Linked DNA regions of Sus scrofa. The protein of the gene in region 2 purifies or fractionates together with the protein of the main gene of each other region. This does not show direct contact. Links are inferred from orthologs where the notes say so. Each region holds a gene or a part of one and is shown on either strand. Other genes may lie near its edges.

What was found. Proteins that work in one complex are often made in the same cells at the same time.
Region 1: the proteins of METTL9 (region 2) and CANX purify together in Homo sapiens (co-immunoprecipitation; 3 studies listed by BioGRID and IntAct, with this or other methods). This does not show direct contact. The link is inferred for Sus scrofa from reciprocal best matches to the Homo sapiens genes METTL9 and CANX.

What each region holds. Positions count from the first base shown.
Region 1 is NC_010444.4:78,884,088-78,888,807, forward strand, and holds part of CANX (calnexin), read right to left. Parts: intron 3,823-4,720; coding exon 3,607-3,822; intron 2,431-3,606; coding exon 2,311-2,430; intron 958-2,310; coding exon 831-957; intron 677-830; coding exon 597-676; intron 1-596. UniProt on the Homo sapiens protein: Calcium-binding protein that interacts with newly synthesized monoglucosylated glycoproteins in the endoplasmic reticulum. It may act in assisting protein assembly and/or in the retention within the ER of unassembled protein subunits.
Region 2 is NC_010445.4:23,716,936-23,722,246, reverse strand, and holds the start of METTL9 (methyltransferase-like protein 9 precursor), read left to right. Parts: upstream 1-2,093; 5' UTR 2,094-2,277; coding exon 2,278-2,442; intron 2,443-5,311. UniProt on the Homo sapiens protein: Protein-histidine N-methyltransferase that specifically catalyzes 1-methylhistidine (pros-methylhistidine) methylation of target proteins.

The sequences.
Region 1 (4,720 bases), on a different chromosome or scaffold from region 2:
GCGTCTGCGACCTATAGCACAGCTCACAGCAACGCCAGATCCTTAACCCACTGAGCAAGGCCAGGGACTGAACCCGCAACCTCATGGTTCCTAGTCAGATTCGTTTCTGCTGTGCCACAAAGGGAACTTCCAAAAGCCTCTACTCTTATCAACTGCTGGCAGGGAGTCAGTATAGACTTCTTCAGGGATGATTTAAAAGGTACACCATCTTCAACCAGATTATTTCACTTCAGCTAATAACTCCTGTCCAAGAAATATTTTTTAAGAGCACAATGAGGAGAGAGAGATGATGAGACAGAATTATAAAATGACCTGAAGTTGTCATCGCAGAAAGCATTTTATCAGTCTTTCCCCACAACCTTCTGCTTATTCCAGAAAACCATTTTCAACACATAAAATACTTCTGAGATTAAGATGTAATTAGAAATTATAAAATGCTGACTTGTGTTGCTAAGAATTCCACTTTTACAAAATTGGCTGTAACAGAATTTTTATTGCCACAGCCACTAAAAATTACCCTATGAAAATACTCTCTACTTAAATGTAGCTTCACTTGAGTTGCTTGAAATACAAAATATACTCTCCCCCCGGATTACCTCTGCTTTCGGTTTCCTATCTTCCTCCTCCTGACTGACAGTGCCACCATCTTCTTCAGCATCGCTTTTTTGCTTCTCTTCTAAGACATAAGTCAAAGTAAAACAAATGAGCAAAACCTTACACTTGTTTTTAGTAGCCCAAAATTAGCATTAGAACATACCTCTAGAGTCTAAAATAACCTTGCCAATAATTGGCATAAACAGCTTTGAAACATCTTGGGGTCTACTTCTTACCAAGTTTCTCTTCACCTTCCTCCTCCTCATCTCCCTTTTCCTTCTCTTCTTCCTTTTCTTCTTCTTCCTCCTTCACATCTGGTTGAGGAGCATCAGTCTTCTTATACTCCACAGGACTGGCCTGTTTCTGAAATATGCCCCCAAAGCACTATAGTTTTGTTCACATTTTATAGATTACATTACCACATAATTATTGAATGCTTATGAGCAAAGTTCTGTACCCAGCATATATGCTGGGGTAGATACACAGAAATGAGTTAAGACTGAATTCCTGCCTCACAGCTTCCTCTCAGTAAGCATGTGTGTGGTTCAAGGTAAAAGAAACAGTATGAGCAAAGGGTTCAGACAATAATGTGCAGGTCTCATTATTAATCAAGGTGACTGAGGCACAGATATGCAGAATAATGGTGGGGGATAAGGCTGGAAAGGAAGATTGGGGATCAGGTTACAAAACATCTTGAATGCAAGGTAAAGCATAATTCTCATTTAGTAGAAGTAGAGGGCCTACACAAAATTTTGTTTTTTATTTTGCAATTTTTTTTTTTCTTTTTAGGCCACACTGCAGCATATGGAGTTCCTGGGCCAGGGATCAGATTCGAGCCACAGCAATGCTGGATCCTTAACCCATTGTGCTGGGTTGGAGATCAAACCTGCCTCCCAGTACTGCAGAAAGCCTGCCATCCCACTGCGCCACTGTGGGAACTCCTGTTTTTTAATTTTTTTTTTTTTTTTTGGTCTTTTTGCTATTTCTTGGGCCGCTCCCGCAGCATATGGAGGTTCCTAGGCTAGGGGTTGAATCGGAGCTGTAGCCACCGGCTTACGCCAGAGCCACAGCAACGCGGGATCCGAGCTGCGTCTGCAACCTACACCACAGCTCACGGCAACGCCGGATCGTTAACCCACTGAGCAAGGGCAGGGATGAACCTGCAACCTCATAGTTCCTAGTCGGATTCGTTAACCACTGCGCCACGACGGGAACTCCCTAAATTTTTAAATATCAAAGGCTAAACAAGAAAAACCTACAATAAGGCTGTGGAATACCCCTAACATGTGTTTTTCCAGGAGGGAAGGTAGGGATACTGAGGAAGGAATGGATAATGAGGAATCAAAGACTGAAATATAAAGTACATGAATAGAAATAACTATGACAGAAGGAAAAGCTAGTCTGTGCCCAGATGGCTAGGTTTTATATCTAAGTTGGTTTCTTCTTTTCTTTTAGAAAGCTGCCGCCAAATATAAAGGAGAGTAACACAGTGGGCTATACTACTAGAAACTACTAGGGGCTTCTACTAGGAGCTAACAAATCCTATTCCCACCTGGGAACATTAAATAGCCACTAAGAGTAGTGAACAGGTTTCAGAAGTCAACACAGTATGTGGCCCAGTCACTACTGAGCTGCTACAAAGAAAATTTCAGGCAATTTATAAGAGTGACTAAAAGTGAATCAAAATAAAAAACAAAACAAACCAACAACTCATACCTTTCCAGAACAGCAGAAGAGGATGACAAGAAACACAGGTAATGCCACAGTCAAAATATAAACCACCCAGAGCCATGGGCGCTCCTCGGCTGCCTCAATCATCTGCCCCACCACACCTGGCTGAAAAACAAGACAGGACTGATTTCACCTTCTGACCTTTAACACCAAACACAGGCTGTGGCTGTACTGTTCCACTGTTCAATTACTGCAAGGCACTACTCAGGCACCTGCTGTTTCAAAGGATTCATTCAAGCCTAGCTGTTTATACAGATGAAAAAGGAAAGAAGAGAAAAGCCTTAATTTTCCTGCTCTCCTTATCATCAAGGTAACTTTCCTTTCCTAGGTGTGAAAGCTGGCTTCTTAATCACCTGCAAAGGTTCCCTTAACCTCAGGGATCAACGAACAAAGAATTTCTTTTCTCTTTTTTCTTTTTTTGTCTTTTTGCCTTTTCTAGGATGGCTCCCGCGGCATATGGAGGTTCCCAGCCTACGCCAGAGCCACAGCAGCGCAGGATCTAAGCCGAGTCTGCGACCTACACCACAGCTCACAGCAACGCCAGATCCTTAACCCACTGAGCAAGGCCAGGGATGGAACTCGCAAACTCATGGTTCCTAGTCGGATTCGTTAACCACTGCTCCACGATGGGAACTCCGACGAATCAAGAATTTCTTGATCTCAATGTCTCTATCTCTCCAATTCCCAGCTTGGCCATATGACAAATTCCTTAAAAACTCCATTTATGGGTAAATCAAGATTCAGTATTTACCTGCGGCATATGGAGGTTCCCAGGCTAGGGGTACAATCAGAGCTATAGCTGCCAGCCTACACCACAGCCACAGCCACACAGGATCTGAGCTACAATCTATACTGCAGCTCATGGCAATGCTAGATTCTTAACCCATTAAGAAAGGCCAGGGATCAAACCCACATCCTCACGGACACTAGTCGGGTTCATTACTGCTGAGCCACAATGGGAACTCCAAGATTCAATAGTTAAAAATGCCTCAAAATATACCCTAAATGGCAAATTTTGTTATATATATGTCTTAACACTATTTCTTAAAAAATACACTGTAAGTAACACAAATATGGACTCTAAAGCCATTACATTCGCCTAATGAAACCATATCCAAACACCCAGTATTTTGTCTTGAGCACACAGAGGTCACACACTTTCTATGCCAATATTCCCAAATAAGAGAAAAGACAAATTTTAGAAGACGGCTTTTCACAACAGCAGCAGTTAGTTACCTGTAATAAAAGATATAAATGTACAAGAAACAAGAAAGTACAAACCTCAGCAGCCCCATCGGCAGCCTTCTTCAGACCCCATCCATCATTGGCCCAATCATCAACCACTCTTCGATCACCACAAATGATGAAATTGTCAAAAAAAATGTCCGAGGTCATAGACCACAGTTCTAAACCAATAGCACTAAAAGGAGTCATTTTGAAAGGTTCCAAATCTTCAAAGAAATCTGGATTTGGTATTTTCCGGGGTTTCCAAATCCCCTAGAGAAAAGATAATGATCAACATAAATTCAGGTCTAGACTCCAACTCCTTTTAATTTCTAATTATCACCCATGATTGTGATTCAAACCAACAAGCTTCCTCTGCCTGGCACATTCCAACAGCGTGTATTCTTTTTTTTTTTCTTTTTAGGGACACACCTGTGGCATATGGAGATTCCCAGGCTAGGGGTCTAATCGGAGCTGTAGCTGCCGTCCTACGCCACAGCCACAGCCACGCCAGATCCAAGCCGTACCTACAACCTATACCACAGCCACAGCAACGCCGGATCCATAACCCACTGAGTGAGGCCAGGGATCGAACCTGCAACCTCATGTTTCCTGGTCAGATTCGTTTCTGCTGTGCCACAAAAGGGAACTCCCAAAAGCCTCTACTCTTATCAACTGCTGGCAGGAGTCAGTACAGACTTCTTCAGGGATGATTTAAAAGGTACACCATCTTCAACCAGATTATTTCACTTCAGCTAACTTCCTAAAGAAATAGTTACCACATACATTCAGAAGAAAAATCACTTAAGTAAGTAAGGACTAAAAGCAAAAATGGCAATTCACCAAAATGGCCATAGACAAAGCAGCTAAAAGGCAATTTTTAATTTCTCATTAATGGCTCAATTAAAAACACATTTAAAAACAGAAAAATATACAGTTTATACAGAGAGATGCAGACCTATACCGCACATTTGAAAATGTAACAAAGTAGAAATTAATGATTTTAAATAACCTGACTAGAAACAGAAGTGAGACCAGGGTCTGAGTGGTTATGTCTATAGTAAACTCGAAGCTTTATAATATCACCACCTTTATTCTTATCATCTCATTTGAGCCTCACAGTCTTTTTACAGTGGAAAATACTGAGGTCAAGTAATAAGCTGACTTGTGG
Region 2 (5,311 bases):
GTGAACTTCTGCTTAGTATATTTACTCTTGCTGTTTTCCTTCCTCCTCATTTGTAATTCAGGAGGCTCTCTGAGAAGAGACAGACAGCAAGGCTTCTTACATGGATCGAAGGACCGTGAGCTGGGATACCAGGTTCTATGAAAAGGTCTGCTATTGACTTTGCTTTGCTCCCTTTACGCAAATCATTTGATCACGCTGTGCTTTGGTTTCCTCCTGTGCTTGCTAAGGGTAAATGACTTCTTCTCGAGGATCTGGGGGTTATTATAAAGCATTTTAAATGTGTGTGATTTACTTTTCCAGACCAGCTGCTCAGGTCGAAAGTGAACACCTGCTCCTTTGAGATGCTAGGCTTGGTGGCAGTCAACTGACCCCCCCCCCCCAGTCCTGGAGAGGACAGCAGCCATCTAGTTGCTTCTTGTTCATCTGATGCATTGTGCAGTCTCTGAGCTGCAGCTCATCAGGCTTACTGTACAGTTAGGGGGCTTATCTTTTGATCTCCTTTGTCCACAGAAATATGTTCTTTTATATAGGCATGCTGCTTTTACCTCCTCCCAGGGCCCTCCCTCTAAAAAGATGAAGGCTTTCTTTGGCACAGAGCTGCTTTGACTGTGACATTGATCCCAAGAGACAGTGGAGAGAGGTGACACGGTAAACAAACTGAACTATCTGGGCTTGCTCCTATAGTTCCTTTTTGATGATTTGGGCCAGGACCACTAGGGGTTTGAACTAGATTTAGTAAGGTGCAGGCTCTTGGGGTTTGGCAGGAAGCAGTCAGGGAGTATGCTGCAAAGAGAATACAAAGCACCCTCCCCCTTTCCCTGGCCTGCCCTTTTTTTTTTTTTTTTTTTTGGTTTGCTTGTTAGGCAACAAGATGTCCCTTTTAGCCAAAGGTGCCAAGCTGAGTCTCAGAAGCCAATAAAAATGTCTGTGGGTAAGGGACAGTTTTTTCCCTCATCAGTGGATCACCACAGCCACTGTTAAAAGACAATCTCTGAAGTTCACTAATGGAGTTACCAGAAAGGTCTATTGCTTTTGTTTGAACGAAGATAAAGTGTATTTACATGATTTCTAGTGCAGTTAAATTAAAAGCATTTTCTAAACGAACCTAGAAAGGTGTTAAAGCGAGAGGGCCCATGAAATAGGTCACTCACTTGTAGCTTAGGTGGCAGCAGGAAGAACTTCAGACACAGGAACACAGTGTAACCCTTCAGTTTTGAAACGTTGCTAGGTCTTCCCGTGCTATAAATGATCAAAGAAACATCTGGGTAAATATTGCTCCTAAAGCTTAGCTGGCTTTAAGGAGTGTTGGGTCTGACTTCCGTTAGTTCAAGGAAACAAGCATCCAGGGACTCTTAATTTGGGGTCTTCGTTCTTGGACAGAGTCATTAACACACCAAAATATTACGTGCAGGTGTCCCAGCTGCAGGAACTTCCAACAAAGGCAGAGCTTTCGCTGATGCCTCTTAGGAACAGTAGCCAGCAACTTGCCAGGCCTGGGGGACTGGGCGGGGAGGTGGTGAAGGGTTGGAGGTAGCCCTTCCCCTCTAGATGCCCATTCGCTTGGCAGGGTGGAGATCCTGGGGGTGGGGGCCTGGCTGGTCGGCTCTAAATGTAAATAGGAAGCCACGCAACTGAGCCAGAAATAGTTACGAACTGACAGTCTCCGTCTCTGGCGAATACTTGGTCCGAGTGTCTGAATATACGAAAGGGAGGAGGCTCGCCGCCTGGGTCAATCTGCACAACCAGGTGAAAGACCCGCAGGGGGCTGGATGAGGGGCTCAGAGCAAAGACTCAGGGGAGGAAAGGCCAGAAGAACTACGGACACTACCTTGGAGGGATGGGGAGGCCTCAGTTACCGCCTTTGGAAACGATCTCCCCTGGCCTAAACATATTAAAACCGTTTCCGCCATTACAAGCCGACACCAGACGGGAGGCGGGAGCGCGCTCCCTTTGTCCCGCCTCCCGGGCGGACAGCCCATGGGGCGGAGGGAGCGTGCTCCGGAGGGGGCGCGCCGCAGCAGCGCGTACGTGGTCCGTGTGGAAACTGGCGCCCGCGGCGGCGGCGTTCCGCGGGCGGAGAGGAAGGGGGAGGCGAGAAGGCTGCGCACCGCCCGCTCTTCCCCACCCCCGCCCCCCGCCTCGGCCCTAAAAGGGGCTGGATGGGCAAGTTGGGCGCGATGGCTCGAGCCCGGGCAGCGGCAGCTGCGGCTGGAGGCGGCGGCACGTCCTCCTCGCCCCGGCGCCGGCGGTGATCGGAGCGAGCGGCCGCGGCCCCCGATGAGACTGTTCGTGGGCTGGCTGTGCCTGAGCCTGGCGTCCGTGTGGCTGGCGAGGAGGATGTGGACGCTGCGGAGCCCTCTCACCCGCTCCCTGTACGTGAACATGACGAGCGGCCCGGGCGGGCCGGCGGCGGCCGCGGGTGGCAGGAAGGACAACCACCAGGTACGCGGCCGAACCCGGGCCCGGCGGGGCGGGGGCGTGGCGGCCGGCCTTCCCGCGCTCGGCCGGGCTATTGTGCCGGGCGTCGTGGCGAAGGGGCCCCCGGGCCTCGCCCCAGCGCCCCACAAAGTTTCCCCCGCGTCTTCCCCGCCGGACGCCGGGTCCAGGCCCAGCGGTGCCTTTTGTTCCGCGGCGCGGCGGACGACGGCCTCCCGGGTCCCTCCCCCGCCCAGGCATGGGCGCCCCGGAACCCCACATTGTTCCCGGGTCCCGGGCAGTGATTGCAGGCGCTCGGCCACCTCGGCGTCGGCTCCCCGGAGCGGGACCGAGGAACTTTCGGGCCAGCGCGTGGTGACGGGGACCCACCTGGCACCGGGGCCTGAGATCTAAATAACCGGATCAAACCCATTACCCCGGACGGCCTTCATTACCCCTGAGAATCCAACCGAAAAGCCGGTCCCTCTTTTTGTCTGGTTGAATCTCTGAACGTACAAAGGGTCATAAAGAAATGTAACCGTGCGTCGTGAGCCATTTAACTCTCTGGCTCCTTCGGGTGACATTTTCCCTCTGCCTTTAAAAAAATGCGTTTGACAGGTCGTCGTCACTCTTGTCCTATGGAACCTTCCCTAAGGGAGATCTCCTTTAAACTTGGGTGTTGGTGTCTGACTGGCGAGATGCGATAGGAACGAAGATGGTGCGAGCATTTACTAGAAGGGTTTTGTTAAAAGAGAACTGGGCAAGAGTGTTTTTGTTTTTTGTTTTTTTTTAATGAGTTATGGTTCTGGATCGTGGAATGATGCGATGTGGCCGGCTGGGTAGTCTTCATTAGCTTAGGTTTGTGCCACTGAAGCCTGTGGAGGTCCTATCTGACCATAATGTCGTTTGCGGTTAACATTTCATTCATTGAAAAGAGGCTTTTGAACTCTGCCAGAGTGTTGGCATATCATAGCCAACATTTATAGTACATGTTGGCTTCTCAGAGAGCAGTAGCTAATTATTCCATCTTGTGTCTCATCATTTTCATAGCTTTCTCGTTTTCCTGTGTTACTTTTCTTAATATACCAGGTGTTCAGAGAGCAACACCCAGGTTGTTTTGATGTGTTTTCATGAAACTAGAGAATGATCTTAGGAGACAGAGCAATTCATTCAGAAAAATAGTATCTAGTTTTTATTTATTAAATATTTATGGTGGCTCTTTTTCTATTTTTAAAGGAAAACATACTTTTTTTTTCTTCTTCTTTTGTAATCCCACAGCTCTTGTACTTTGTTAGGTAATCACTCCTATGATATTGTTCGGAGTGTCCTTAAAGTTAGTAGGTGATCTTAACTTGTAAAACCACATTCTTGGCTATAGAGTAATTAGTCATTTTTAGAGTTGGGCTATACTGACACTGTAGTTAACCAAAATGTCCCATATCCATAAGGAACATGGATAATGGTGTAAAATAATAAATAGAAATGTCATTTCCAACAGTCGATGGACCTAAGGTTCTGGGTAGGATGAAAAGAAGACCTTTCCATTGATATGGAATTACGGTCAAATCTTTTGGCTGTAGGCGTTTATTACAACACTTGTGATTATCTCTATTGCAGTACACCTGATACTTTCAGTGCTCAAAAAAGAAATGGACTAATTTAAAAACTGAGAAACTAAGGAACCTGATTTTTGTGGATCCTAGGTAGAATTATAGCTGTTGACATAGCCTCAGAATATCCTCTAACAGATGATACTTTTTTTGTTTGTTTTTAAAGTTTTACTGAAGTATAGTTGATTTACAAGGTAGTGATAATTTCTGCTATACAACAGAATGATTCAGTTATACATATACACACATCCATTCTGTTTCAGATTCTTTTTCCACATAGGTGATCACAGAATATTGGGTAGAGTTCCCTATGCTATACAGCAGGTCCCTGTCGGCCAATCATTCCGTGTACCTCAGTACATGGAATATGTATATGGCATTGGCATGTAATTGGCATATGCCAGTCCCCCACCCCCAGTCCATCCCTCCTTTCCCACTACTTGTCCCCTTTGGTAACCATTAGTTTTTCAAAGTCTGTGACTCTTTCGCAAATAAGTTCATTTGTATCTTTTTGTTTTGTTTTGTTTTGTTTTTTAGGTTCCGCATATAAGTGATATCATCTGATGTTTGTAGAGGATACTTTGTAATTGTGTATCTTTTTAAAGCGGAATCTGTCAGCTTCTAAGGAATACTAATACTGCTTGCAGATACCTCATTTACTTCCTTATGCTTCTAAGATATTCAAATGTGTGTATGTTTTAACCAGTTGCACTTCATTATTTAGCAGCTAATTTCTCCAAAGTGAAAACTAATCTGGTGCTTTCTGAATATTGGGAGGTGGTGGGGGACATTGGCCTTTTTCCTTCGAATAATCAACCCAGACATTGTTTTGCGTTGATATGTTCACATTATGGCAGTGTTGTCCATGAATAAAGATGAGAATGAACAGAAGAAATGTGTATAGGAACCACAGTGAGAGACAATGGAATCGACAGTTCTGTCTGCATCATGGATGAGTTGATGGTTTGTTATCAGCTCTGTATTCCAGGATTCCGCTTTGCTTTATCAACTTTGTAGCTTGTGAAAAAACTTAACTCTAACGCTTTCCCCCTTCAAATTAGTAGTTTATACAAGGTCTGCTGGTGTTCATCTGGCTGTGTGGTTTCCATAGCTAGCCACATCTGGTTCTTTTGGAGCTGCATGAAAGTAGGGTTATGGTTTTGATTGAACCATACTTAGCATGAGGTTTTCTTATGGTTATTTGATTAAGAAATTATGGTGGTGGATTCTATGCTTAAAAAGAGAGCTCTCAGGCCATGTTTATTCATTAAAAATAGCTATTTAGT